2 linked regions of the Astyanax mexicanus genome follow. The protein of the gene in region 2 interacts with the protein of the main gene of each other region in a pairwise test. Links are inferred from orthologs where the notes say so. Each region holds a gene or a part of one and is shown on either strand. Other genes may lie near its edges.

Region 1 (3,756 bases), on a different chromosome or scaffold from region 2:
GTCAGTGTGAACTGTCTATCAAAATATATGGAAATAGGCCAAATATGGCATGAAAAGAAAAATAGTAAATACAGTAAAATATGTTGGAGGTTGTTTTGCTGCATCTGGTACTGGTAAATTAATATTATTATATTTTTTTATTTTTTATTGTTTATTCTTTAAATGTCTAATCACCATCAGAAAGCCTGTAACTATTTTAACTAGTTTAACTGGGTTTATTCTTTTTCTTATCATTTCAATTTTTTATTATTCTTTCTATTTATTTATTTATTTATTTATTTATTTTCTTAGGATCTAAGTTCACTATTGTTTATTTGCTGTTTCTCTTTTCTAACTCTTATCATTTGATTTTATCATTTACTTTTTTGCTATTATTATTTTTTTTTTCTTTATTTTAAATTTTATAATTTCTTTACTTTTTTGTTTTCTTTTTTTTTTAGGGGTCATTTTATTTAGGTTACCCTCTTGTATATTATATGTTTATACATTTAATTTATCTAGAATAAATATATTTATTCAAACTGTGTATTTATTATATTTAGAATTTTTTTTATTATTTCTAATTTCTTATCTAATGTTTTAAATCAGTTTTATATTGTAATTGTAAATGAGGGTCACCCTCAATGTACTAATGTACTCCTGAGTTAAAATAAATTACTCTTCTTAGTTTATTTCATCATTTACTTTTTACTATTTTTATTTGTTCTGTATTTTATCTTAATTTTATGAATTCTTAAATTTTTGTGAGTTCATTTTTAAGTGTTTTTTATATTTCACTCTTTTTTATATGTATATATTTTTATTAATCTATATTAAATATATTTATTTATTTTTTTCCTTTATTTTATTCTTTTTTTCTTATGTAATATTTTAAATCAGTTTTATACTATAATTGCGAATGAAGGTGCTCAATGTACTCCCGAGCTAAAATAAATGTTGAATGATTGATTCATTAATTGATTAATTGATTGATTGACTGATTAAATAATGAAACCATTTGCATTTTAATATGACTTAAACATTTATTATTTAAATATGTATTTCCACCCTTCAACCGCTAGAGTGCGTCTGTTGATCAAAGAAAATATGTCCTAAAATATAAATTATAGCGCCTCCTAGCGATTAGAGTTGGAAATAAATCTCAGTAAACGCTCAGCCAGGCTTTGCAGCATTCTGGGATTTGTAGTCCTTTAAGACCCCTGCAGTGTGAGTCCCGCCCCTCGCTCCTGATTGGACGCTGCTGGCTCTGTTTTTTTTGGAGCTACTGGTGTTGCGGTGCGTCAAATACGCATACATTCACTCACTCCTCCTCCTCCCTCCCTCCCTCCCTCTCTCTCTCTCTCTTTCCTTCTTTTGTGCCCCCCTAGCACCCTCCCACCCCTCGGTATCTGCCCCATCCCCCACTCTCTCCCTCTCTCTCTCTCTCTCTCTCTCTCTCTCTCTCTCTCTCTCTCTCTCTCTCTCTTGTATTTTCATCCTGCCTGCGTAAAAAAGGAAAGAGCAGCAGCAGCAGCAGCAGTCAGACTGCCGGATCTACAGCTACATAAAGCCTTCAGACCCGGAGCTACAAAGAAACCAGAGGCATCTAAACACCCAGGATCTGCCCAAACTGGTGAGTTTTAACCTCCACGCTGCTGTTTTCACTTTTTCCAGCTTTCTTTCTTTGCATGAACCCTCCCTTTCCAGCTGTCCATCCAGGAGAAAGAGAGAAAGAGAGAGGCTGGTTTGTTGGTTGGTGCTTGGTGGTTGGTTGGTGCTCCTCAATCCATGGCATCCAAAGCCATGGTAGGTACAGTAGGCATGGAGGCAAGGTGAGTTATGAAACACATATATAGCTACAGTAGCATCTTAGCTAGCTAGCATCATTATTGCTTATCATTGTTTAGCTATAAACTTGTGCGACTAGCTAATCTACAGGATGTATGGAATTGCTATTTTATGGATATATAAGGGATACATAATGCCACACTCCATTGGGCAAACCAAGAATAGCATCCCAAAATGGTGTCGGACAGGCTTTGAATGTGACCAGCTTTTCTATATATAACCTAAAATGATCATAAAGAACCAACACCAGGTCCAGATCTTCATTCTATACAGGAGAAAGAGAGAGAGATGGAGGGAAATAAAGCAAGAGAGAGAAAGAGAGATGCTGGTTTGTTGGTTGGTGTTTGGTGGTTGGTTGGTGCTCCTCAATCCATGGCATCCAAAGCCATGGTAGGTACAGTAGGCATGAAGGCAAGGTGAGTTATGAAACACATATATAGCTACAGTAGCATCTTAGCTAGCTAGCATCATTATTGCTTATCATTGTTTAGCTATAAACTTGTGCGACTAGCTAATCTACAGGATGTATGGAATTGCTATTTTATGGATATATAAGGGATACATAATGCCACAATCCATTGGGCAAACCAAGAATAGCATCCCAAAATGGTGTCGGACAGGCTTTGAATGTGACCAGCTTTTCTATATATAACCTAAAATGATCATAAAGAACCAACACCAGGTCTAGATCTTCATTCTATACAGGAGAAAGAGAGAGAGATGGAGGGAAATAAAGCAAGAGAGAGAAAGAGAGATGCTGGTTTGTTGGTTGGTGTTTGGTGGTTGGTTGGTGCTCCTCAATCCATGGCATCCAAAGCCATGGTAGGTACAGTAGGCATGGAGGCAAGGTGAGTTATGAAACACATATATAGCTACAGTAGCATCTTAGCTAGCTAGCATCATTATTGCTTATCATTGTTTAGCTATAAACTTGTGCGACTAGCTAATCTACAGGATGTATGGAATTGCTATTTTATGGATATATAAGGGATACATAATGCCACAATCCATTGGGCAAACCAAGAATAGCATCCCAAAATGGTGTCAGACAGGCTTTTAATGTGACCAGCTTTTCTATGTATAACCAGATATGATCATGAAGACCCACCACCAGGTCCAGATCTCCATTCGGGCCAGGAGAAAGAGAGAGAGGTGGTGGGAAAGAAAGCAAGAGAGAGAAAGAAAGAGAGAGAGGCTGGATCATTGGTTAGTGCTTGGGTAGTTTGGGGCTCCTCAATCCATGGCATCCAAAGCCATGGTACGTACTGTAGGCTGGAGGGAAGGTGTGTTATGAAACACATAGTTACCCTAGCATCCTAACTAGTTAGCATTCTTGGGTATTGCTTTCTAGCCTGCTAGCGAGCTAGCTAGTTAGCCATATTAGCCTAGCCTATACTATCTATAAGGATGTGAGGCACCCATGCACTCCATCCATACACCATGCTAATAATGCTCCACACCATTGGGCATAGCAAGCATAGCATCCCAAAATGGTGCCCAGCTTTTTTTATATAACCAAACATGACCATAAAGACCCACCACCAGGACCAGATCCTCATTCTGTCCAGGAAAAATAAAAAAGAGAGAATAAGAGAGGCTTTAGTTGTTGGTTGGTGCTCCTCAAACCATGGTACCCAAGCCATGAGTTATAAAACCCGTAGCTATCTTGCTTACCCTTACTTAGCTTGCTAAATCAGTCTTCGAATATATATGATGTATGAAGTTGCTATTTCATGGATATATGAGGATTTGAGATACCCAAAGAGGATGCCCTCCTTAACTCATTCACTCCATCCACTATGCTAATAATGCCTCACTTCACTGCGCCAACCAAACATAGTATTCCAAAATGCCAGATCTTCAATCTGACCAGAAGAAAAGAGATAGAAAGTGATAGAGCAAAGAAAAGAAAAAAGGAGAGAGTTTTTG
Region 2 (3,756 bases):
ATCTTTTAACCACTTGTATTTGAGCACATTTTTATTTTGTACCTTTAGAGGTAGGAAGATTAATGCAATACTGCACCCCATGTATCAAATTAGTCAAGTGGCCCAAGTTGAAGAAATGTTTATTAAGTGACTCAGGATATAGAACACCAGTGAACAAGATGCATTAGTCACATGAGGTTTTGAAAACAACTAAACCACATGCCACTTGAGAGCAAGCACCTGGCGGGAATGGGGACACTGACCGCGTTACACAGCACATTCAGGACACTGGTAATGAAGATGACTGCAATTCATGTTAGGCCTGCATTGCCTGCTCTTTTTCCAATCTGACTGGTTAAGACACTTTTCATAGTTAACATGAGCAGTGATGATATCCTGCAGCCAGAAGACAATTCACAACAAGCAGCAACATCAGAGAGAGACTGTGGGTAATTGATTATAGATGTCTGATGGAACACAAGCTGTGACAATTACGCAAACAATTCAGCAGTATAAGAACCAACTCTGCACCTTTCATGCAATTAGAATTGGAAAATACCCATAATAGATATCTGGGTTTTAATTTACAGACTTTCAGATGACAAATAAAAAACCTTGGATTAGTGTTTGAAACATGCCAAGTATGCTCACACACTAAGGAATTTTACTGGGAAAATTCTGTATCTGAAAACACAGGATTTTTTGCTGGTCAAATATTGGTGGCAACATTTTGGCATGCAAGTTCAATAATGTCTGAGCAACTCGGTGAATCATTTCTATTAAGGATTTTGTCGACCACGTCCTCTGCATGATGTGCAAATTGTTATGAAGCAATGGGCACACAAGTTGTTGGACTGGAAAAATTAAAACGAAAAAGGGGGCTGTTGGGCTGTGGAGGGGAGTAAAAACCATTTCAGATAGTGTTCACCAACCAAAATATGTAGATAAGAAGAGAAAATGGGACTGAATTACCTATATAAGCTCGCTCTTGTTCACGGGTGAGCCCTGGAGGGATGACCGTGGGCATGCCGGGGATAACGGTCTTCTGATCAGGAGTCTCACTGCTCCAGCGGCTCTTTTTCCTTTTCTTCTGATCTATTATGAGAGTGTTGTATTATAAATGACTAGTACTACTGCATAGAGATGTATACATGTGGCATTCATAACAACACAGTCTAGACACAAGTCATGGTTTCATGTTTAGTTACAGTGTGATTCTGTGATCATTTCCCAAATGCAATTGATTTTGTTGTTGTCTGCATTACAGACAAAAAAACAGTCTTACATTTCCCCCAACCACTGGAGATAATTCAGGTCTAAAAGGGTTAAATTCTTTAAAGATAGTGTAACTAAATAAAATACACTGCCTGGCCAAAAGAAAAGTCCCCATCTGGGTTCAACTAAGTAAATGTTGTGGGGTTCAGCAACAGTGTATGAAAATAGACCAGGTTCTTCCATCAATGGATTTTTTTTCTTCCCTGGTGGCACAGGGGATTCATGGGGCTGGAATTTTGAAAGAGTGTTTCAGGGAACAAGAGATGATCATTTTTACACATGGATTGTTTACCACAGAGTCCAGACCTTAATTTCATTGTGAATCTTTGGGATGTGCTGGAGAAAGCTTTATGCAGCGGGTGGCAGGCAGTGTATGTAAGCAAACGCAAATACACTAATGTTAGAGCAAAAATCTACTAGCTACAAAACAAAACAAGGCTTCTTTTAATAATATCGCGTTATTAAGATATCTATTTTTTCACGATATTATTGCTCACGATACGGTATCGTACACACCTAGCTTAGCTTACCTAAGCTACTGTGGTGAGGAATCGAGCAGCATGGGCCTGTGCTTTTTTCTAGCCCGCAGCCATGCTTCAGGTAGAGAGCAGCTGAATATTGTAGTCCTAAAAGGCCTCAGATCTCTTCACAGGCCTTCCTGAGGTTTAAAAGTGTTACACTAGGTAGGGTTAGCTAAAGTTAAAGACTAGAGTCGACTGCGCAGATATAGCTAACATAAGGTTCAGAATGTTCTGGAGTGTTAAAGCTATTAGCATCTTTAGCTAAAGGCTAATAGCCCCGCAGATCCACACACACAGTCACACACACACACAGTAATACTGTACCTCCACCCTGGGACTGCAAACCCACTGCAGCCGGATTCGCAAACCCAGCTCCGGGAACTCCGGGGAACTGCGGAAAAGGTAAACTGGGCATCTGCGGCTGCGGAAAGTTCTGCATGGGGAAGGAGACCGGAGGCCCCGGCGGAGTCATTAACCCCGTGCCCGGCCCCGCGTCGAAACCCCGCTTAGCGCCGATGCTCGGGTGCAGCTTCCCCAGCGGGGTGGCGTTCGCTCCCGTTGCCATTTCTGAGAGTTTTACCTGCAGCCCCTCTCTTCTATCCGCTTCTCCTCGATTCTGATCAACTTTATTTCTTATTCTTTTATTATTTCTAAAATAAACGAACCCGAGCGCCGCCCTCACAACCCGTACAACCTTCCCTAACCGATGCTCGGTCAAGATGGCGTCGGTTGAGGTGGACAAAGGAGGTTCAGGGTCTCCGTATAATAGCAGCAATTGGTCCGACGGGGCGTCAATCACCGCGCTTTCGATTCTCATTGGACGCACTCCTCCCGCCTTGAGATTTTACAGAACTATGATTGGATGCCACACGCTCCATAATCTCCATTGGGAAAAGCATAGATAAAACGGCGGCTCATTTTACCGGATCTGGTAATCATACGGATCTACCTTATATACAGATTCAACAAAATCATTACTGGAGGATATGGGAGATAGATCAGGGAGTACCAGCCATAAATTTGGACACACCTCTTCTCCTTCAATGTGCTTTCTTTCTTTTTATGATTTTTTAAAATTGTATATTTAATATTGAAGAAGCCATGCAGGAACATGCAGTATTATTTTATAAACAAAAAAGTGTTAAACAAACCAGAATATGTTTTTTATATAATTTAGATTCTTTTAAAGTAGCTTTGAGGACAGATCTGCACACTCTTGGTATTAATCTCAGTGTCTTCACGAGGCAGTCACCTAGAATAGTTTTCTTAGTGTCCTGAAGGAGTTCCTGGAGGTACTTTCCTTCACACTGTGAAGCTCAGTCGATCAGGTTTAGTTTGTTTTCATGTCTTTAATATTAATATACAGTGTAGAAAATACATTAAATAAATGAATAAAGAAAAACTACAAATAATAAGGTGTTCCAAACTTTTGATTGGTCACACAATATGTTATATGCTGTGATTAATTGCAATTAATCACAGTTTCCTTCTTAACACATAAGCATAATTGATAATAAAGTAAGATCATAATAATTGGATTTATAGTCATATGTTTGATTCATTTGTACACAGATTAATCTCTACACATGTTGTCCTTAGTTAAATATGTAAAATAAACAGTTCAATCTCCAAAAAGTGACATTGCAAAATATAAAAAATGAAGAGAATCAAATTTTCTATCCATATTTCAATATAAATAAAACGTAAAATATAATCCATATTCTGAACTTCTGGGCAGTAGCTACACGAAGTTTACATTGCTAAAAAACAATATTATTATAACCATTAAACTATAACGAATTACAGTGGAGCCAAATTGGTAAAATGATTAATACACATACAACAGTTTGACCTTCTACACTAAGGTCTAGTCCAGAAGCATATAAAGCATTCCGAAATAAAGATTTCCAATTTAATTAAATTTTTAATCTAGGAAGAGTTTAATCCCTGTCTGAGAAACAGACAGTGCTCAGTTATATCC

What was found. The genes of interacting proteins can lie anywhere in the genome.
Region 1: the proteins of sf1 (region 2) and fam168a interact in binary tests that used the Homo sapiens proteins (3 or more experiments, as listed by UniProt). The two-hybrid records come from large-scale screens. The link is inferred for Astyanax mexicanus from reciprocal best matches to the Homo sapiens genes SF1 and FAM168A.

The regions. Positions count from the first base shown.
Region 1 is NC_064416.1:5,958,996-5,962,751, reverse strand, and holds the start of fam168a (protein FAM168A), read left to right. Parts: upstream 1-1,401; 5' UTR 1,402-1,612; intron 1,613-3,756.
Region 2 is NC_064415.1:16,236,518-16,240,273, reverse strand, and holds the start of sf1 (splicing factor 1), read right to left. Parts: upstream 2,514-3,756; 5' UTR 2,341-2,513; coding exon 2,100-2,340; intron 1,075-2,099; coding exon 952-1,074; intron 1-951. UniProt on the Homo sapiens protein: Necessary for the ATP-dependent first step of spliceosome assembly. Binds to the intron branch point sequence (BPS) 5'-UACUAAC-3' of the pre-mRNA. May act as transcription repressor.